Caenorhabditis elegans: one gene and its partners. The protein of the gene in region 1 interacts with the protein of each later gene in a pairwise test. Each region holds a gene or a part of one and is shown in the gene's direction. Other genes may lie near its edges.

Region 1 (5,412 bases):
TAACTGGAAGCACATGGAAATCAGCAAAATCGTGCACAAAATGCATTTGGTGCGGAATTTCGAGTGTCGACGGAAGCGGAACGGAAAGAAAATGTAGCAAAAACGCTGAAAATTAGTTTTACAATAAAGTTCTGAAAAAGAAATTTTAGAAAAAAAATGTCTTTTTTGGAATTTTTTATTCAAAATTTTTTTTCCCAATTTTTTTAAAAACTCACATCTGCATACATTGCCACCCAAGTCCAGTGAATAAAGCATGACGATGAATTCACAGAAAACGCGGTCATTTTGCATACCCAGACGCCAGGAATTGTGTCTGTAAAAAACTACGTCGCTCCGAAATTCCGCTTGGTGGAAAATTAATTTTCCACCAAATTTAACCAAATTTTCTGGTTTTTTCCTAATTTTTGTTTAACTAGACACCGTTTTTACCTTATTTTCTTAGTTTTTCACTCAAAGAATCGCAAAACTCACCATAAATCACATCGCTATTCTCCACAATTACACTTGCCACCAAAGTACCCAAAAGTACAAAGTTCCCAGCTAAAATCGCACTGAAAAATGGCAGAAAATGCACATTTTTGCCAGTTTTGCCGTGAATATACAAAAAGCTTAGAAATATGATAAGTAGCGTGAAAAAACCAACGAAAAGTACCGAGTAGAAGAGGATTTGCGACGAGTTTTGCCATTCGTCGAGATAGGTTTGCTCATCGGTGAGCATTGATTGGTCAATGAAGGAGATCAGTGGGACTGAGATCGACATGCTGAAATTTTAATGTTTAGACTAAAAATTTGAGAAATTTGAGAAAAAACTATTCAAAAAACTGAATTTGTGGCTGTAAATCAAGATTTGTGATTAGAAAATTCGAATTCCTTGCCTAGAAAAACCTATATACCCTATCAGGGGGTCGAACCTGTGCCCTATTTCACCAAAGCCAAGCCACTTACCTACTGCGCCATATGGGAATCGCGTGGCAAAAAAGGCGCAGCGCGCGCCTAGCAGCATGGCGCAGTGGCTAAGAGGCTTACCTTTGGTAAAATAGGCCACAGGTTCGAATCCCATCGGGGGTACATATATTTTTTTAGGCGGAGAAATCGAATTGTTTACTTTTAAACTTAGAAAATCCACGTGGAAGGTGGAATTTTGAGTTAAAACTGTATACTTTTGACAGTTTCAACAATTTTTTTACAATATGCAAATCGAACTAAATGTTATGATCTCTGCAAAACCTTCATATTTGCAAATAATTTTTTTCAATGAATTTTTTTACTCAGCGTTTTTTACTTTCTCACTTAGAAAAAAATATATACCCTAGCAGGGGTTTGAACCTGTGACCTATTTCCCCAAAGGCAAGCCTGTTATCCACTGCGTCAACCCCTTCCTTCCTGGCTACTTCTCCGGAATTGCGCGCGCGCACGCATGGCTAAGTGAGTAAGAGGCTTGGCTATGGAAAAATAGGTCACTGGTTCGATTCTCAGGTAGGCTGTTTAGTTTTTTCTAGGTAAGAATTTGGAATTTTCATGGCTTGTGAGCTGAAAATTGGAGTTTTTAGCCATTATTTCTTCTTTTTTTCTAAAAAAAAGAATTTTTGAAGTCAATTTTAGTTTTCATATTTTAGAAAAATAGTCAAATGTACACCAATGCTTGAAAACTAGGAAAAAACTGAAAAATATCCGGAAGAGTGCTTGAAAGTGAAAAACAAAGGGATTAGTGGGAATTTTTAATTTTTTCGCAAAATTTTTCTCAATTTTCATAAACAGCTGTGCTAAAAATCTGGAAAATGCAGGAAATTGAATGTGCTCGGTGGGAAAAATTAGGAAACATGAATTATTCCTAAAAAGTAACAAATAATAAGCTAACACGCAATTATACACATTTTTTGCTGCTTTGGTGGCTTAAAAATGACGTAAATATAGCTTTTATTCAAACAAAAAAAATACATTTTTTCTAAAGATTGCGAAAAAAAAAAATTCTGGAAATTTTGAAAATTTCGAAAAAAATTTTTTTTGGAAAATTTGAAAATTCAATTTTTTTTTAATTTCAGGATTTTTGCTTAAAAACCCACAAAAATATGCTAACTCCAATTTTTATGCAATTTCCCTTCCTGAAAATCTAATTTTCCACTTAAAAACCACACAAAGAACACAAAGAAATCCAATTTTTTTTTTGGAAAAAAAAAAAAATTCTGAGATTTTCGCTCTTTTAGCCTATGCTGCATAATAATCCTAGAAAAATATCGGAAGCCTGACAAGAAGTTTCCAGAAAAACGTGACAATTTCAGCTTCCGGGGGGTTTCACACATTATTTTCTTTTCTCTGGCTATATTTTCGAGTTACATGGGAAAATGACAAATTTTTAACTAAAAGAAAGCAAAAAACAAATTTTTTTTTGAGAAAAGTGATGTGCAGCAAAAAATGCGGAAAATTTGGTTTTTTTTTAACTTTTAATTTTCCAAAAAACGAGGTTTTGCGTTGAGTTTGGCAATTTCAAATTCAAAAATTCGAATTTCTCACCTAGAAAAACCTGTATACCCCAACCGGGGTTCGAACCTGCGACCTATTTTTCCAGAGACGAGCCGCTTACCCACTGAGCCATGCTGGCAGGCGCGCGGTGCGCCACTTTTGCCACGCGGTTCCCATGTGGCGCAGTGGGTAGGTGGCTTGACTTCGGTGAAATAGGTCACAGGTTCGAGCCCCGAACTGGTTTACAGGTTTTTCTAGACGAGATTTTTGAATTTTTTAGTTTAAAACTCTGAAAATCGACACGAAATCGGGTTTGCTGATTTTTTTTTCGAACTTTTCATTTAAATTCCACCAATCTTTGGGTCTTCACAACCATAAATTTAATTTCCCGTAAATAAATTAGTTCTCCTTCCGAACCAAGCCACCAGCTGACACCAACGGCTGTGTTGCACTTCTCCCCGTCTCGCACCGTCTGCGTCTCCGCATGCTCTCTAACTCTCTCCCTCGGAGGCTGAATCCCAAGCCATCTGCTGTCCGCAGAGTGCTCATTCCTCACTTTTGTATTGATTTACTGAAAATTTGACGAGTTTTCGCCAGAATTTTGCTGGATTTTCACAAAACTTCCTGTATTTTCAGCCCAAAAATGTCTGAAATCTCCATAAAACGTGCACATGAAAACGAAAAAGATGCAGAGGAAGATATGGAGCCAGCAACTAAAAAAATTAAATCTGATGACGTCACAGAGGAGCAGGAGAAGCCTGAAATTGTGGAGAAAGCTGAAAAAGTGAAGAGCATGAAAAAGGAAGAAGCTGGCAGCCTGAAATGTGAGTTTTTGAGCAATTTTTGAAAAGAAATGGGTTAAAATAGACTGAAAATGGATGATTTTAAACTTTTTTCTAAAAATTAAAATTTTGAAAATTTTGATCAAAAAAAAAATTTTTTTTTGAAATTTCGAAAAAAAAAATGTTTGAAAAATTTACAATTTTTATTTTTTTTCCTATTCTTCATCAGAACATTTGAATCAAAAAAAATTCCAGCACCACCCAACGATGAAATGGAGTCAGAATTCACACATGTGCTCAATGAGCTCTCAAAACAGAAAGAGACTATCAAAAAACTGCTGGACGATTTGAGAGCGGACAATAAGAAAAGGAAGACACACAATATTAGAACGATTTTCCAGAGAAAAGATTGAAAATTTACTTTTTTTTTGACTATAAATATTTATTTTGCATATTTCAATTTTTTCAGTTTCAACAAAAACCGAACATTTTCAGAGCTTGCGACTATGAAATTCGAGTTTAGGAGAGTAGATATACCAAAGACAAATTTAAAAAAAAACACAGAAAAAAATTGTGCCACAGTGCGGACTCGAACCCCGGCCTTCAGATTGGTAGTCGTCGAAAATCCCACTGAGCCATTTGAGCATAATTTTTAAAAATCGCGGAACTACATTTTTTCAACAGTTTTTGAAATTTGAAAGACTTATCATTGAGTTTTCAAAGTTTTAGATACCTAAAGTTACTGGAATAAATAAAAATTCTCAAACTTTGATACTTGGAAATGAAATGTAAATGAAAATTGCTTCCGTGAGAATTCGGAGAAGTTAATGAAAAGCAACAACAACATATTACCTTAACATTTTTCCATCCAAAAAACCGAAAAATTAAACACCTTTTGTCAAAATTCAGTTCAAAAATAAGCTTTAAAAACTTTGAGATCTAAAAATTCAGATTTCTCGCCTAGAAAAACCTATTGTCACTCTCGTGGATCCGAACCCCCGACCATCTGCGCCAAAAACAAGCCTCTTACCCACTGCGCTGTAAGAGCACCGCGCGCGCAAGCTGCATGGCGCAGTGGGTAAACGGTTTGGCTATAGAGCAATAGGGGACAGGTTCGAACCCCCGGAAGGGTATATAGGTTTTTCTAGGCGTGAAAATTGAATTTTCAACTTTAAAATTGAAAAAAATCTACTTGAAGATCGAAATTCTCGAGTTTACCAGGGTTTGGCCTAATTTTTATGGTTTTTATTTGAAATTATTTGTAGAAGCCTGAGTGTTTTGAGAAAAACACATAAATTCCAAAAATAACTTGCAAAATAATTTCGTGGATTTTATGAATTTCACTGTTCCATTAAGTTTTAGGCAATTTAAAACCCAAAAATTCAAATTTTTCGCCTAGAAAAACCTGTAGCCACTCTCTGGGACTCGAACCCGCGGCCTTCTGCGCCAAAAGCAAGCCTCTTACCCACTGCGCCATAAGTGTACCGCGCGCGCCTGCTGCATGGCGCAGTGGATAAGAGGCTTGCTTTTGGCGCAAAAGGTCAGGGCTCGACCCCGAGAAGGGTATATAGGTTTTTATAGGCGGTGAATTCAAATTTTTTTGTTTAAAACTACCATTTTGAATGGAAAAGTGACTTTTTTCCAAAAAAAAAAAACTAAAATTTTTATATTTTCCAAGTTTTAAGTATTGAGTATAGGTTTTTCTCTGTGAGAGGTTCAAAATTCAAACTTACAATTTTCTACAAGTAGTCTGAGAATCTAAATTTTAAGCTATTCACCCGGGATCAGCAAATCAAATTTTCACGAGAAAATTGGTTCTGCCGGCGAAAACAGGTGAAGTTTTTTTAAAGAAAATTATACAAATATACAAATTTTGCAGGTGAAAAAATTGAAAAAAAAAAACGAAAAAAAAAATCATGAACCAGATCACTGAACTCCAGTCACATTTTTTTCAAATCTTGCAGTTTTTTGTCAAATTTCTCCAAGAAATTCCCAAAAATTTTCAGCAAAAAAATGCCGGCACCATGTCCTGAAACATTGCCTGCCTATTATATGCCTACCTTACATGTAATTGGTGCAATTTCGATTCCAATGAATGTTTTGGGATTTTATATGGTTTGGTTTCAGTCCCCAGGAATGCAGGGCTATAAGTATTGTCTTTGTTACATGC
Region 2 (7,373 bases), on another chromosome or scaffold:
TCTCGTTTTTCCTTCTTTTCTGGTGGGTGAATAGAAAAAGGTTGACAACCGGGTACGACTACCGGCTTCCCTACATACAACCTACAACCCATAAAAATATAAAAGACAGAAAATAACTTTCCTTTTGTGCTCAATGGAGCCTGATGCCCTTCTCTTAAGAATATACTTGAAAATTGTTTTACATTAGGAATGGTTTTTCGGTTTTGAAAAACTGAAAAAAGTAGAAAAAGATTAGAATTGTTTTTGGCAGTGTTTTTGTTACTAATCCCAGAGTATGGATAACCACAATGCTCCAGTCAGCCTGTCATCATGTGATTGCTCACTGCAATCGTCTCTGCCTGTCGACAATTGCCTAGCTCTGGGGAGGTCGTGCCTGGGCCGCCAACGAAGAGAACTCAACTTTTCCGAGACGGACCGGCTATTAGAATCGTTTCGTGGGTGTACGCGGGGGCATCTCGCTTCCCTGTCGTTTTCTCCTCTACTCGGTCCCTGCCTGCATCAAAGCTTTACTTTCCGACAAGTACTCTGGAAGATTACGGCGCATCGGTTTTTGTGAGAAGAATGGCAAGGGAAAAGCAGTGTCTCCGGAAAAGAAAAGGAAACCGACATATTGGGAAAAGAAGTGCGAGAATTTTTGAAAAGAAAAATGGTTTCGAAAGGTTTTTCACTAGAACTTCTTAATTTTTAGTTCGTTCCTCAATTTAAAAATGAATTAGCACCAGTGAAAATTTGTTGAAATTAATTATATAGTGCCAAAATGACCAAATATCATAGTAAAACTTTTCAAAAAAAAAAAGGAAACATTTTTATTGACAGTCAAAAAAATTAGCAATTACTGAGTTTTTGCCACTTTTTAAATGAGGAAACTTTTGCACTTTTGCATTTTCGAATTGCTACAATGTTCGAATATTATTATTTGAAACATAAGCAGACCATAAAATTTGAGGATATTTTATTATCAACGACTACCAAAAAAAAACTGATTACCATTTTTTGAAACAAAATATATAATTTTCTGAAAAATTCTGAAAAGATTTTACTATGATATTTTGCCAACTGAGTTTTTAACAATTTACCCACTGGCGCTGTCCCACCTCTAGGATTTCAAAATGTTAATTGATAAATTTTGAGAGTAAATTCATGCCGTAAAATAAACAATTCGCACTGAATTAGACACATAGTCTTCAACAATACATGATTAATATCTTCTAAATCCCTTTTTCTGACTGAAATCGACCACTTCCTATTTGGTCAAATTGTAGATTTGGTGAATTCATCAGTGAAGCTGATAGATCACAACATGTTTATCGTCGGACTTGCCGGACAGCAGAGACTAACAAGCGAGAGAAGCAAAACGAGTGAAAAAAGAAAGTGGAGAGAGAGCATAAACACATAGTTTATCTGTATTTCAGAATGTCTCCACAATTCGCCTGCTCTTTCGTCTCTTCATTCCCCTTTGAATATTTTTCTTCTTCTAGCTTCACCAGGTCTCACCAATTTGTCACGTCCAGATCCGCCTACACGGTGCGATGGATAAGTGTTGCAAGAAGGGACACGACAAACTGACATACAGGATGAAGCCCTTAGCACACGTTTTATTTTACCGCTGTTTGGTTTCCAAATTGGAAATGTGAAAATGGGAGTGGAAAGAGGAGAAGAGAAAGGAAATGAAAAGTAGAAGCAGAAATGGTTAGTGACAAGCGCCGCGGCATGCACTATGCTCATGACAGTCATGAGATAGACTACGCAGTTGATCTTTTTTTTGGTGGGAATTTTTTTCAGTATTAAAAATAAAAGTTTTATATTGTGAATTTTGTTGAAACAGCGGCATTATTTTACAAAAGTACGTACGGTCGAGTGTTCAGTCAAGGCCGGTGACCTCTTCACAGGTTTACTGAGAAGCGTAAACACGAACCACATGTTGCAACATACACCAGTCAGATTTTTTGTATTTTTCCAACATCTTTCGTATCGTCCGTTACAGCTTTCCGTTTTTGCGGGTTTTCTAATGGGTGTCAGTTTTCAACCGCACAGGCTCACTATCTTGTGTCTATTCCCTCTCTATCCGCTCATTGATTTTTTTGGTGATTACGGCGCACGGCAACTGTGTACAATTTACCTGCTCGCCTGTTTTCGCCAACTGTCATCGTCATGTTTTCTTCATCTACCGCGCCAAAACTCCCCCTCCTCTCTTCTTGTCGGTTTTCTTTTCGTTTTGTTACTGACAGATCTTGTGAAATCTAGAAATGAAATATTATGAGTTTTTTTGTAAAGCAATTTCTTCGCCCAGATGTTTTACGCTGTTGAGTATAGTTTCTTATTAGTTATATTAAATTAAGTTTGAGAGTGTAATAATGTGTTTGTGAGACAAGCTGAAACATGAAAATTGAATCAAGTAATTTTATTAAACGGATTTAGTTTTGATAGCTAGCTTCAAATACAAAAATGAAACCCGTTTGCAAAAATCTAGTTCTGTATCCATGTTCATTTGTAGGAAATATCCCGAATAATGAATAGTTTTGTGCCGTATCCGGCTGGCACAGTGTGCTCGGCGGAAAAGGCTTGAGCTCTGGTGCTGCTTCTCCTCGACCAACACATTCACTCGCTCCACACTCCCATTCCGACTAGGAAACGAGCTAGCTGTAGACAGACCGCCAAGTGACGAGTGACCGCATGAATCAGAGAGAGCTTCAAGACTCGTCTCGGGATACTGAGTAGGCACCCCATAGCAAGCCAGAACGTTATGCAAAATAGGGCGGAGCCTCCACGTCCCCTGCCTGTCTTTCGTTTTCTATCGTCCACATCGTCGTCGTGGAGCGCCTTCCCTGTTTGGAAAAGAAGACGTGGTCACCCTTCTATTCACTGTAGAGCTCCGTGCCCTCCACGTCCACGAGTTGAGCTCTCTCCGGCTCCGGCGTTTTCTGTCGCTCCACCCCTTAGGAATAGCTCGGAGCCCCACCCCTCTCTCTGTGCGCCCGTCCTGTCCGATCGGTCGGCACTCTCCTCCCCCCTCCGTCCGTCCTTTTCATCGTCTCCTTCTACCAGGAGCACGTTTTACCTTTTCCTGGCACCCATCTATTTTGTGGACAGGGTCCCTCTCTTCACTCCAATCATACTCACTAAATCGTTATTCACAAAACATCAACGTTGGCACAGGTTGAAGAAAAGCTGACGTTAAAGAAAACAGAGTCGTTGACCATCCTGGATGTCTGTGTGCGTATCACCGCTAGTACAAGCAACGATTCTGATGACAGAAGAGAGTCTGACATGTCCTCAGTGTCCGAAGTCATTTTCAAGTACAAAACTCTTGCAACAACATCAGCAAATGTTTCATACCGATAAAGTGAGTCACAGTTTTGCATCATTTTTATGTGTTTTTATTGTCTTATTTGTCGCTATCTGATCCAATAGGCCAAATTCGCTCATTTTCTATTTTTGTGCGCTAACTTTTCGATTATGAAAATCTCGCATCAGATAGGCAGCGCACTTTGATGAATATAAGTACAATTCTAGAACATCAAGTTAGAGTAGTTTTCCCAGTAGCGAGAGTCATATTATAATTGTATTAGAAGATCAGAGAGTATTTTGTTCCATAAACCATATCTGTCGTATTCCATTCGATTGTGTATTCCATTCGATTGTGCAACACAAAAGTTTATGAGCCTATACGATACTGCACAACAGTTGCCCACCCATACCGTATTTCGCCCAGTAGAGAGGCCAGGCGGTATGTTTCGTTAGCGATTGGACAGTTCTACAGTTACACTGCAGCAGTTGGCGCGCATAGTTCGCTTTGGTAGATAAGATATTATCATAAGAATCTAACAAATGCACTCTGTAGTACCGTCTTTCAGTGTTTTATTGAGTTTTATACTCTTTTTTGACCTTAAGTTTTAAATATTTGATTTATACTTTCAAATATTCATTGCATCCACGGTTTATCTGACAAGATTAGAATTTTAAGTATGTTATTATGTAGACTGGTAGCTCATTTAGTTTTGATCCTACTATCAGAAAGTGCACCAGATTAATCACTTGTGTGAACTGCACAGAAAAAGGAAATAGTTAGGACGTAGACCTTGACAACGGAAACCACACCTTTGCTCATGCTCGATCTCGCTTTCTAATCTTATTCAGCTGCTTTGCCACAAGAATGTACTTTTGAAGAACCCCTTGATTGAACTAAGACATCAGAAGCCGGTATGAGATATAATGAGATATTTTTAATTACGATACATTTTACCAAAACAATAAAATCTTAAGAATATTACATAGATACATATAAGCAAGACACTAAGCTTTTTAGATTTTTCTGTAGTGGTTCTGTTGACATTCGATCATAGAGTAGTGGTGTGCACCGCTAACTGCTTCCAGAATTGGCGGGACCTAGTTGTTTACGAGGTGTGTGCTCATTTTCCTCTCCTACATACTTGCCTGTTTTCTCTCATCGAAAATAAGACGACCAGCGCAGCAAGGCACCTGACCTCTGGACCAGCGGGGTTTTCCGGTTCACTCTTTTTCCTGATCTTTGCGAAAATGTCATCTCATCCATTTACTGTACAACATCGCATCTTCCGATATATAATCTGATCGCAGTCGCATTTTCATTTTCACCCAGATGGTTCAATGGTAGTTTTGTGTTTTGTGGGAGAAAGATAGGGGCCAGATGCTTTGGTGAATCGCATCGTTTTCCGTCCGTCTCGCCCACATTGCTTACTATTTTGCCATCGGAAACTTTGTCCCTCGCTCCTCCTCCGGCATCTTGTCGCGCTGCTCTGTCATCTACTTGTTCCTTTTTGTCGGTGCACGGGGTATTTTCCGCTCTAGCGATATATTCCGCCTAGTTTTTTTCCAGTTGAACTATCTTGTCTTTTTCGCCGCTTACTCTTTCTCACGTTCCATTTCCATTTTCAGTCTGTACTCCTCTCATTGAAGTCAACCGATGCACCAGTGGGAATGGATCGAGTAAGTAGACAAAATCAAGATGATAAGAAAGACGCGTCTAATAAAGCCATATATCATGCTCATTTGACCGTCAGTATAGAATGAGCAGAAATAGACGAAAATGCGGGGAAATAACGTGTGGCTGCCATTCCACGCAAATTTAATCATCCGTGTGTTGCGTTTCTGTGCTCCACGCAAACACACTAGAACCATCATGCCCTCCTCGTTTTCAAGGAGCCCAGCCTGCTGCTGCCGGACGGTAATGAAAACCGACCAGTGTTGATTGTTTATGGCTGCCTATCCCCTTCCTTTCCGTTTACTCGAAAAGCTGTAGAAACCCATTGGAAAAAGCATGCACAATAGAGAGTACCAGAGAAGGGCGCAATAAATTTTTCAATCAATTTCGATTCTGTGTGCGCAGTGTGTACGCGCAGACCCACATTTTTCTGATTTGATTCATTTGAAACCAATCTGAAATCGCAAAACCACAAAACCATAGAAAAAGAGCAGAAGCTGGTTGTGAGAACAATCAAACGAACAAGATAAAAGGATGACGTCATTGAATGTGTGCCTGTGTGTGACATATGTAAAAGTATTTGAAAGAGATTAGGGATTAGGACTACAGTTCTTGATAGACTTGTAATACAAATTAAAAATTGAGACTTCATGTCTTATATAATCCGCGAACAAGATATTCAGCTAGGATCAGACCGGTTTCATATACCCATAGCAAAGTATAATCTTTTTTATGAATTAATAATTTCAGGCATTCATATGTGAAACATGCGGGAAAGCTTTTCGGTTTCGGTCCAACTTAGCAGAGCATCGATCAGTACATACAGCATTAAAACCTTATGTCTGTAAATTTTGTGGCAAATCCAGTAGGTTAAAAGGTTAGTTTTTGATTAGATTGATAAAATTAAAACAATTATTTTCCAGGAAATTTAACAAAACACATATTAAAACATCACAAAAAAGAGCAGAACGAAGCAATAGCAAAAGATGATATTATTGTAAAGAAAGCACCAAAAATAGTAACCAAAGATAATGGTCCAACAACAAACGGATCAACACCAACTACCTCCACTGCAACACCATCCGTAATCACAGTATCTAGTGCATTAGCGAGTAGCAACGGTCATAATAACAACAACAACAATCATGCAGTGAACAACAATCTGAGGACGATTAAAATGGAACTCGAAGATCCGGACTACAATTTAATCGCCAAATCAGCACCGACACCAGTTGTTTCGAAGATTGTGGCAACACATACAGTGACACCAAGATCTAGACCTACGCCAAAAGATATCAAAGAGATTCTGGAGACGATCGCTCCATCCGTGGGAGTCTCAGAGACACCTGAGGAGATGTGCCTTTTGCCAAAAGATGCTTCATCTGAAAGTGACAGGTAGGTAATTTTAATCATTTTCACATTCTTAAAGTGTTTAACAAAAACCTTTTTTTAGGTCTGTTCTTATCAGCCTTGGTTTTGATTTTGGATCAACGTTGAGCTTGAATCACCAACAACTCCAGCAAGTAGTTCGTGAGCTGAAAGGAGAGCTTAGTATTTCTCCAGACACGGGTTAGTTTTATTAGTTTTTTTTTAATTGAGAATAGAACGTACGAGTTAAACTTTGTTTCCTATATACTTTCATTTCTAATTCTCTTTATTTTCATTCTCATTGTTCTTATAAAATCTTATCTTTGAAACTAGAACTGTCAAACTAAGGATTCTAAGAACCATCTTGTTTTCTTTTTTTTTTTGAATTCAACTCAATTCAACTCCTCGCATAAACTTTTATGTGCAGCAACTGCCATGTGGCGTTCCTTCATTGCCTGTCGGGACGCCAAAGACAAGAAAACGACAGTGTGGAGAAGTGTAAAGTGATCTTAACCTGTTCCGAGGGAAGGATAGGGTCATTCATCTAGTCGCCCATCTTAGTTTACTGTAATACCGTTGTTCTCTTCCCATTTCTTTTGACTGACAGAACTGATGAAAAATGGTTAGAACACAGCTGTCAGTTTGTGAATTTTGAAGTTTTTGAGTTTTTGAGTTATTCTACAAGACCACTTCGAAACCAGTCTTCTCATTTCTCAGCCTCTTCACTTTCTTTAATATTCTTCATACGGAATTGATAGTGAGCTGTGACGGACGGGTGGAAGAGGAGTGGACTGCAGTCAAGAAAACTGCGCAAAACTTTGTATGTCGGTGTGTGTCGTGTCCATATATATCCAGAAGTCGGTTTTGAAAACACAGGACCGCCGTTGGGCAAGGAGGTCCATCATCGTTTCTATCGAGCAACTCCATCTGTGTGCTCATGCGTGCTCGCATCGATTTTCAATGTACGTCGCTTCTGTCCGTCCCCTCCGGCGAAGGGATGAGAAAAGCAACGGACTGCCCGACTGACAAAGCACAAGCAAAATTG
Region 3 (10,486 bases), on another chromosome or scaffold:
GAAAGTACTAGAAATAAGTTTTTTTTAACTGTTTAAGATGATGAGAATACACAAAAGAGAAACATATTTTTTGTACTGAACTTTTCTAGTATTTTCTGAAAAAAACATTAATGTTTTTCAAACCTAACTATAAGACTTGGAATAATTACTGCGTTCAGTGTTTTAACTGTTCTACGAATTTTCTTTTTGTTAAAAAAAAATTATATAAAAGTTTCTCATATGTTTCAAATTTCCAAGTGCCACTTAAACTTCTTCACCTACCCAACTGACCACTACCTATTATTTCCCCCCAATTCAGAAGTATTTTCTCTCTCTTTTTTCCTCTATATTCACCTCAAAAACTAGTAGTCGTTGTATTTGGGCAAAATGTCCTTTCCGTTCTTCTGTCCACTACCACCACGAATACCCTCAACACTCACTTTATTCCATTCATTCTTCCCGTTTCGACGATTCGATTCACACATAAATTATAGTATACATACTTGAACCAAAAAAATGGAAACGGGGAGGAACGGGTTCGGATGAATGACTTTTCACACTCCTTTTCCTTGAGAAATGACAAATTGGAAGACTCTGTGAGCCAAGATAGGCGGAGCTTCGAATTATTCACCAACTTTCTTATTTCTTTCTTAGAAATTCGTTTCTTAAATTTTTGATCTTGACAGACAGCTGAATAACCTAGTTGATTATGGGTATCACGTTCTGTTATCACTATGGTTACTTTATTTTGTTTTTCTTTTTTCTTCCACTTGGCGTCACAGCCGCTATAAAATTTATTATTCTAGCAGTTGGCTCACTTCTTCATCTAGATCATGAAAAAGTGCTTCTTTTGTTGGTTCACACATTCAACTTTTTGTCATTTTATTTAGACCGCATTTTGCCACAAAAAAATTACAAAAGTCGGATAATTTGTCAATGTTCTACAACGCATCTATTATTTAAATTTGTATGCTTGTTTTTCTAAAAATTCGAATTCCAACCTGTAATCACTCTAAAAATACCTGAACATTGAAGCATTGGAGCATTAACTTCCTCTAAAAAATGGCTTATTTTCCCCTATTTCTCTATTTCTCTCTCGCGTTACCATTCATTTTTTATATTTCTCACCTGATATTTGCTCTTGTACCGGTAGTTCCAACATGTACATACACATTCATTTTACAGTCTTCCTCGCACATTTTAACAGTTTTCCTTTCATATACGAATTCCTCCATCTTTTTCAAATTCCCTTTTTATTTTTTCAAACCGTCGTCCTTTTTATAGCTTTCCCACTTTCTTCCAAATCAAATTTTGAAATATTTCAGAGTTTAACTCTCAATCAAATCGAAACGAACGATCTTCTAAAACATCATTGGGCTCCTGAATCAGAACCACGACAGCGTCATGACCGACGTGTATGAGTCGCCTGCCCGCGAGGTATGATTCTTTTTTCCTTCATAATTTTGCAAAAAAAATGGTATCTATTTTTGAAAAACTAATATTGACTAATTTTCTATTAGGCAGAACACTGCTCATCTCCTAATATTTGTATGACGGATTGTACTGGTATTTTTATATGTTTTGACAAGGCTTCCCAATTTACAAAAACATAAAAACAGCTAGCTATTAATAATGAAAAATTGTTTGGATCTATATTTGTTGAAAATATTTTTTACTGACATTGAAATTTCAAAAGTTGTCAAATTGTAAATGCTCATCGTTTGCAAGACTATTCTTATTGTATGAAAAAGTGAGAAGCTGCAAAATTCCATTCAACAAAAAAAACTACTAACATTTTAATATTTTCAAGACTCCAAACTGTAAGAAAATCTAGCTCCACACTCAAACTAGGCCATGTACGTAAAACTAGTATAATTTACAGTTGAGTCATGTAACATGTATTCATAGTTGCATTCATTTGACTCATTTACCTCGTTCTCCCCCTCCCTTCCCATTTCCTTCAACTCTGTTCAGTTTCCCGAGTACACATTGAATCTACCTGCTCCTGAAGCTGCGCCTCTCATCCTCTCGGGCTATTTTCCATTCCGTAAAAGTAACTTGAGCCTTGTTCACATAACAACAAAATGCGGGGCAAGATAGAATGTTCGCATTTCAATTGTACTAGAGACCTTTATCTTCAAAGAATAGTTTTGGTTTTTTTTCCTGTTTCGTAAAGTGGAATGAGTGTTGTCCCCAATCCATCTCAAATTATACTTCATCTTACGCTCATCCACTTTTCACCCACTTTTCAGACTCTTTAAATGACCATCCTTTTCTCTTTTTCCTTTTATTCTTATAACAATAGACGTGATTCTTTTAATTTGTGGATTTGCCGGTGCCGCTCCTAATTACTGTATACTTCTCACTAATACTAAAGTTTAGCAATTAAAACTATTAACTCAAAAAGAAGTAAACCTATTTTCAAAGCATTCTTCCCAATTCAGAGTTGATGAAAAGCCACAAAACAATGGGATCACTCGAAAAAATGTGTTTCGAAGAGCCATGCATTTTGAGCTCTTAGAGCTAAATCACAAATCATTGAAGGTTCTATGTATGAACATTGAATAAATCATTTCGATTTAGGGAGACTATACGTTCAACTTCCTCTTTGTACCAACTTCAGTATTCGCTACAGATTTTTGGTTCCTTGTTTCACTATTGAAAATTTTAATGTTTCCAATTTCTTCTACAAGAAACATCATGACCCCATAATTCACTTCCTAATCGTCTAATCATCTCCTCTTATCACAAGAATTACTTGGGTGTGACTGGTCATTTGAAATAGCTTTGCAATTGTTTTTTCTTTGCTTCTCGAAACCCGTCAAAAAACTATCGATTAATTGCGCTCAATAGAAGACGTACAAAACAAGTGAACACATACAATGACTATCCAAAAACCGGATTCGCTTTCCCTCTCTTTTCACTTGTGATTTCGCAATTCTTTCATCTTCAACGTCTTCTTCTTCGGTTGTTTTTTGTATTGAGGGTTTACAACCTCAACCTGATGACCGTGGCTGAAAAGATAAACTGGCAAAATTGAAGAGACTAGTTGAAGCTAGAGAGACGCAGGCCTGAAAGTTGAAGAAGGCGGTTCGAAATTGATAACAGTCTCTTCGTTTTCTCATTTCTTCTCAACACAGTACAATTTGCCGCATTCACTCGTCTGCTACTATTACCTTCTGAACTATTGATTTGGTGGCATTCTGTCACTCATTTATTTCTCCAACAATGACTACTGAATTCGTGTCAGAAGAGGAGTCCAAGTATGCGGTAAGTACTCTACAATATTGACATTAACGGAGGGAAATTGATTCCAATGGGGTTAAGTAAAGTCAGTCATACAAGTTTGCACTTTAGTGATTTTCTAGGCAGCTTCACAAAATAGCATTAAAAAATGCATTTTAAACATCTAATCGTTTTTTCATCAGAAACATGTGAATTTCCAGAGCCTTCTCCTTACCATTTTACATAAAGGGCGGCGATCTTTAACCAAATTTTTCTCATTAACGATGATATTGTTTTTTTAAATAGCTGAAATGTTGAAAATAATACACCTGAAAAAGAATCCTTCAAATTATTCAGCTTTCACAATAAATAAGGACAGTTTATTTTATTTATGCTTCAAGGGACACCACATTTGCTTCTTTTGATTTGTTGTATGAAAAAATCTAAAAACGGTTCTATCAATCTTTTTTGAATGCATTTCATGCGACAGTAACCTTTATAATCGTTCATATTTCCCTCATGTCAATTTCAATGTCCTCCACTTTTTTCCACCTATTTGGGACAGGGATGAGTCACTGAAAAACTGTCTTCCCACCTTTGAAAAGACCATCCCCTACAGTGTTTGCTCGCCGTCTCTAAGTCTCTCCAATTTGTGTACTCTATTCCAAGTGAAGCTTTTCCACTCGAAAACCGTATTTCGATACACTCCTTTTTCTTTCTCAGATGCTGAAGCTGAAGACCCATGTTCTTTTCCTTTTCTATGACATTATTCTAGCACATAATTATAGTGTCAAAAAAGGGAGAAGTGTCTAGAATTCACATGTCACGTGGAACATTATTTCAGTTTTCACCTAGAAGTTCCCACCAATTTGTGTTGTTTGTCAAACAACTTTTGTTGATGATCTCTGATGATCTACTCTGAACTCTGTATTTTTTTTCTGTCTAAAACGTCATAGGAAATGAGTCAGTTGCCACGTCACAATAAAAATGGGAAAAGTATCGGAATTTTTTGGTTCTAATCTATTTGTTTTTCGTGTAAGAATGCTCATCGTCTTGTCGATCTTTTGATAGGAAGGGAATATAAAAAATAAATAAAAACAACTTGAGAATTCAACAGCTGATTTTTTCCACAAGAATTGACTAAATTTATAGCTATATAAAACGAACTGCCATATTGGAATACAAAATCTCAATTTTTGACAAACGTGATAAAGAATACGGTCAAATTTGGCAAACTTGCGGTATTTTCCTATCAACAACTTTGTTTGTGGAATTAATTTTTCAGGTTTCAATTGCATAATCTTTATATTCCGTTAGCATCAAATTCAGCGCAATTTTTTACGTCACACGGTTTTCAGAGCTATAAAAGTTTTAATATTTTTAAAAATGATCTTTTATAATTTCTAACATAATCATTCTCTTTTGAAAACTTGAATACAGTTTCAGAGAATTTCAAATTTTTAGAAAAATCATTTACATGAATTATTTATGGAGAAAAAGTTATCTGCAAATTTTACCATCTACATGTTGTTTCCATTAATAAAATGTACGTCTGTAAATTGATTCGCGCACGTTTCTAGTGAAGCTTCATGATGTAGTCCGGTTCCTGGTAAAATCCCAACAAACCACTTACCGTAATCCTCACGCACTTTTTTCTTCTTCCACTGTCCATTTTCTTTCCTCAAAAAAGCCTTGCAAACCGTTCGAGGCTTTTCCGTGTGCCGCTCTTTGTTATCCACTCGTTTTTCGTCATATTTCTCTTCATCTTTTCCACGCAAAAAACGTTTGTCTATTCTGTATGCTTATGTATGTTTTTGTTCTCTTCCGGAATATAGATGAACAGAGAGAGGCAGAGAGAGTCCGCGGAAAACCGTCGGCGGAACGACAAATACGTCGTTTTCCGGACAAGGCAGCCTTTTTGCCGCAATCGTCATTCCCGTCACTTGATATCTCTTGTATTGCCCGAGTTTAGTCTCTTTTCAAAAAGAGGTGAACACTGTCGTCAAGTATTCCCAGTTCTGTGAATTCATTATTTTTGTTATTTCTTTCTTTTGATAATTAGAAGCTCGAATGTTCCAACTATACGAGGTGAGATTTTAGATATCTAGATCACGCAGTCTAAGTCTTGTTTCAAGCATTATTTTTGCATTTGAGACTCAAAATATAAGACTAGATGGTGTACGGTTTAATCGAAAATTATGATATTGAAACTCCAGACACTAAGAAACTACTATCTACTTTATCAAATTTTTGAGCAATTATCGAATGATTTTGATGATAGAAAGCGCCAGTAGAAAATTCTATAAAACCTTCTTAACTGACCAAATACAGTTGCAAAATTTGAACTGAAATTTTTGGACTGAATTACCATGATCAGTGTACTTCAAAAAATTCCAACTGATACAACTCCACTTTCAAATTATATCGTCCAAATAACATTTATTTATTTTCTACGCTCATTTTCTGTCTTTCGTTATTTCCAAAAATCGAAAACTTCAGCAGGGAAAATTGTTCTCCTCGCTACTATTTCTGTTCAACTAAAACTGATCTCTCTGATCCGTTAATCTCTCATTTTCCGGTGATTTCACACTCTGTGTGCCGTGGTCTCAAATGTCGTTGTTAGAGATTTTTGAACTTTTCTATTGAATCATCTGTTTCAGATTTTTTTTCTCATTTTTGTTCCTCTCTGTAATGACAAAGCTCGTAATGACGTGAAAGGTTTCGGTTCCATTATGAGTCAAGAAATGAAGTGCTTGTTCCCTCCCGCCCCCTCTCTGGAAAAGTGAAGAAATTGAGTCATTCCGAGCAATATCTGCGTCTCTTATCACTCTTATCGTCGCCTGCTCAGGTGGCACAGAAACTTGTCAGAAGAACATGACAAGACATGACATTTTATGAGCTCTTTTCTAACATATTTGTTAGAGGGGAACTTTGTTTTAAAACTACAACGTCCTTCGAGTACTTAGGTATTTAGTTTCATTGACTCACATCATTCTACATTTTTTTAGCTCTAAATCCCACGTGCGTCATTTCATAGCGTCTGCTCTGTCCGTATCCATAGAAACCGCGAGGAGCGGCTCAGTAGAAGCAGGGACAGCTTAAAAATAAATATTATTCGAGGCTGAAGAGATTCAGAGTTCGGTGTTTCGCAATCCGCTCCACCTCTATTCTCCCACCTCTTTTAATATTTTTTGCCTAGTCACCACTGCCACACTTCAAAATTGAAGAATTCCAGAAAGAGCATTATCTGATTGATGTGAGTTTTGAGTTAATACATATAATCTTTTTGTAATTGTATGTTGTAATTGTATCCTTTAATTAGCAAAAATTGGTAAAAAACAAATTTGAAATCGTCTTCAGATTTAAAAAAAATTTATGATACCTATGAGTAATATGTTCTGAAAATGATCTTCAAAGAAATTTTAATTTGATATAATCAAATTAATTTAGTTTAATCTTGTCTCTAATCCCATGTTTTCCACTCCCTAAATCGGGGCAATTAATCCGGGTAGACCAGTTCAAATCCCTTAACAACTAGAATTTTTCGTTTTTGCCTTGTTCGTCATCTCTTTTCAAAAAAAAATAGTTGAACGAAAAAAGTGCTTGTAAATACGACATAATGCTCTTCTTTCTAACAATAGCTGCTAGTACTCCAACTAGAGCATTGGGCTTCACAGGAAGTGAGCACAATTTGAGCAGCTGTGCCAACCTGGCTTCCGTTGGCCCCCACATACGCCACCTTTCCCAATTTTTTTTTACTTTTCCAGCTTTTTTGGAGGAATTTTTCAAAGAATTAAAAGAGATAAGATGGAAGAACGGAACTAGAAAATGTTGAGAAGATGCTAATTTGATACGGTTTCCGCTTGTTCCATCCATTTTTCCTCCTCCTTCTTTTCTATTCTTCTCCACTCATTCTCGATCAGTCAATCACTTCTAATTTCATTTACATTTTCGTTCGTTTCCTATAAATTCTAAAAGAAAGACAGAAAATATTCACTTATTTGAAACGCTAACTAATCCATAATTCATTTCCAGGACTCGCCTATGCGATTACAAGGCAGCTCGGCGAGCAGCGCGTCGGTCGCTTCCAGGTTATACGGAACACGGTCTCGTAGAGATAGTCTTGGTGGAAGCTCTTCAGAAAGTGATTTAATTGCATTTGGAGGTGATCAGGACGCTCTCAACGATTTCAGTTCACAAGTGAGTTATCAAGTAAAATGTAAAACATTTAAAAATTATTTTGAATACATTGGAAATGTACAAAAATAAATATTTTAACGTGCTTTCCTTATTCGATGGATTAAAGTTTAATTAATCATTTCAAATTAAAAACATTTCTTTGTAATCTTGTTATGGAGAATAGATGTCTACTTGAAGCAGTGAGCATTTTGTGTCAAATTCCATGTACTATTTTACAAATTCTATCATATTCCAGATGAACCAGCTCAACTCATTCACGAAGCGTTATTCGGAGCTCGAGGAGCGTAACATGTCCCTCTCGGATGAACGTACCCGCCTCAAAACTGAAAATTCAGTGCTGAAAGAACGAATGCACAATTTGGAGGAACAGTTGACTGATAATGAGGATCGATTCAAGCAATTGCTCTCCGATGAGAAGGCACGTGGAACTGAATCAATGTCAAGGTTGAAAAGAGAAAAAGAATTGGAAACTGAAAGTTGGAATTTGAAATATCAAATGCTTGAGAAAGATTTGATTTCTGTGAAAAAAGATGCTGAAAGATCAAATGAAGAAACAAAGAGAATTCGAAATGAATTGGAGAAGACTGAAAATAAACTTGAAGAAGCTCAACTTCTTGTAGAAGGAATGGAAGAAGAACGAATTCAATTGGAACGACAATTCAGAAAATTCAAAGAAGAAGCTCAGCAAGATATTGATTCCAGCAGTGAAATGGTTGAAGTGTTGGCTTTGGAAACAGAAGAATTAAGGAGAAAAGTAGATGGTCCCCGATCTGAAAGTATCTCTGATCGTGAAGATATGCACGAAGAGATTGAAATTTTGAAAGCCAAAGTAGCAGAACTAATGAAAGAAAAAGAAGAAATGACTGATCAATTATTGGCTACTTCTGTAGAACGGGGAAGGTGAGTTGACATTCCAAAGTTTTCATTCAAAAACATTTTTTCTTCAGATCTCTCATTGCCGATACACCGTCACTTGCTGATGAACTTGCCGGTGGTGATTCTTCTCAGCTTCTAGATGCTCTTCGTGAGCAGGAAATCTGCAATCAGAAGCTTCGAGTCTACATCAATGGAATTCTGATGCGTGTCATTGAGAGGCATCCAGAAATCCTTGAGATCGGAGAAGAAGGTGTAAGTGGAATTTTACAATATTCTTTGAATTTAAAAAAAAAGTCGTACTCGATCTTGTCCAGCCTGATTGTATTTTTTTCCAGGAATCCTCTCCAAGTTGACGGTGCGCCGGAGAATCTCAGTCCTCGCCAACGTCGTCGTCATCATCGATTCCAGAAGAGTCATCATCACCGACACTTTCAGCAAGAATCTCCGCCTACCTTCCCTCATCGTTTCTTCGATGGGGATGAATAGACACATGACGTCATCAACGATTGGCACTCAATTCCTTGTGACGTGGCATGCAACATTTAGTCTTTTTTTTTCTTTTCTCCATCCCTGTGATTTTCAAAATGCTTTACTTCAAATGTTTCTTTGTACAATCTCCTCGTTTTTAGTCCCCTTTACCCCCTCCAACAGTATTTTCGAATTGCGTGCCACGTCACAGATAGATCCCGTTAACGGGTAAAATACCATCCATAATATGTACATCTGAGACTGAGATCCCCCTCCGACCCCCCATTTTTTCTGGACCTTTTTACCCCAGTGATACACACATTTTTTTTTGTTTCAAAACTTCAATTTGCCCAACGATAATTTTCCATTCGCACCCCATTGATGATCCATACATTTTGTGATATATAGCATTTTTCTGCCCATCATTTTTTCCGACTTTTCCCCCCTCGAATATTTATAATTTATATTCATGTGTTTGTATTTTCCGTCTGTCTTTTCTGAAAATTCTTGTCATTTTCATGGTTAGTGATAGTTCTTCTCTTCTTTCCGTGCCGATCACCAATTTTTGAATTCAATCGAGCTTTTTATTGTTGTTTCACTAAAATTTCTGTCTGTGTAAGAAGAGTTTAAAAAGAAGAAGAAGATACAAAAACGAAGAATAAACATGCATTTTCTCAAAACCATGCATTTTGAATGGAAACAGAACAAAAAAATTTATAAAGGGAGAAGATGAGACATGCAATACTTCTTCATCAACTGAGTATTATACAAGAATTCAACTGGTCATTTTCATTTTGGAAATAATCATGTCTATCGTTTCTTTTCTACGGAGCCTGCTGATTTTCAAACTTTCTTTTAACTACGTATTCCAAATATTTTACAGTTTTTTTTTATCTACCGAGAAACTGTTTTTTTTTAACTATGTCCTGAACTATATTTTGGAAAACGCAGTCATATTAGTATCGTTAAATTTTTGCTCATTGACATTTACAGAACTGAGCTCCAATTCTGCATCGTTACCTGTTCCCGTTTTAGGTTTTTTGTGATGTTTTTATATGCGTCGTTAGATTCTTTAAATCAGTTGAATAGGGAAGGGTGTGGGCGTTTTGCGTGTTCCTCAACAGGAAACCAGGAAAAATTGGTATTAAAAAATGAAAAATCCTGAGTTGCATGTCAAACTTTTTATTCGAACAATCTTTGTGTTTTCACAGATTATTTTGTTCTCACAATCAGAAGTAAATTACCGTTTCAAATAAATATTTTTAATTCTGAATCGATTGGCGTTGCTCAATTATTAAGAAGAGCTGGCTAAACTTGGCCTTTCGTTGAGCCTTCTCAGAATTAATATTGTCGATAAGAACTTATTATGAAAGAACTCAACCAAATAAGGTTGCCAATTGTGAACAATGATTATGATCAAGATTTGCTTACCATTAGAACATGCACGTTGCTTATTTAACTTATAAACTTATCACCAACGTTTTCTTCTCTAAAGTAACTTTCAATCACAACTACTAACTTCATTTCACCTGCTGTTTTCCGTTTATCTTGAAAAAATGGCTTGTCTCTAGTCTTATGACTTACGGAATTGGGCAGTAAACAAGTGAATGGAAAACAAGAGAGCTGTAGTATTTTGTCTGTACAATAAACCAGAAGCTATCAATTATTGAAAAGCGTCAGTGGAAGGTGATTGGAGTGACTGAAAGATTGTTATTAGAGCTTTTGAATAAATCGTTTT

What was found. The genes of interacting proteins can lie anywhere in the genome.
Region 2: the proteins of C54E10.6 (region 1) and syd-9 interact in a two-hybrid assay, tested with the Caenorhabditis elegans proteins (one large-scale study listed by BioGRID).
Region 3: the proteins of C54E10.6 (region 1) and rfip-1 interact in a two-hybrid assay, tested with the Caenorhabditis elegans proteins (one large-scale study listed by BioGRID).

The regions. Positions count from the first base shown.
Region 1 is NC_003283.11:18,806,353-18,811,764, reverse strand, and holds C54E10.6 (Protein MNN4-like), read left to right. Parts: upstream 1-3,035; 5' UTR 3,036-3,103; coding exon 3,104-3,284; intron 3,285-3,497; coding exon 3,498-3,655; 3' UTR 3,656-3,696; downstream 3,697-5,412. Other genes in the region: C54E10.3 (G-protein coupled receptors family 1 profile domain-containing protein), read right to left, coding at 1-105, 216-313, 472-760; sri-10 (G protein-coupled receptor), read left to right, coding at 5,256-5,412.
Region 2 is NC_003284.9:7,215,263-7,222,635, forward strand, and holds the start of syd-9 (Zinc finger protein syd-9), read left to right. Parts: upstream 1-3,007; 5' UTR 3,008-3,205; coding exon 3,206-3,343; intron 3,344-4,914; coding exon 4,915-4,965; intron 4,966-5,081; exon of another isoform or gene 5,082-5,313; intron 5,314-5,710; coding exon 5,711-5,837; intron 5,838-5,883; coding exon 5,884-6,355; intron 6,356-6,413; coding exon 6,414-6,529; intron 6,530-7,227; exon of another isoform or gene 7,228-7,373. UniProt on the Caenorhabditis elegans protein: Plays a role in regulating synaptic function, probably by modulation of endocytosis. May be dispensable in muscle for normal locomotion. May be involved in post-transcriptional mRNA processing, in parallel with unc-75.
Region 3 is NC_003280.10:5,883,248-5,893,733, forward strand, and holds rfip-1 (FIP-RBD domain-containing protein), read left to right. Parts: upstream 1-3,120; 5' UTR 3,121-3,207; coding exon 3,208-3,249; intron 3,250-6,212; exon of another isoform or gene 6,213-6,460; intron 6,461-6,876; exon of another isoform or gene 6,877-7,016; intron 7,017-7,239; coding exon 7,240-7,404; intron 7,405-7,639; coding exon 7,640-8,304; intron 8,305-8,351; coding exon 8,352-8,530; intron 8,531-8,615; coding exon 8,616-8,980; downstream 8,981-10,486.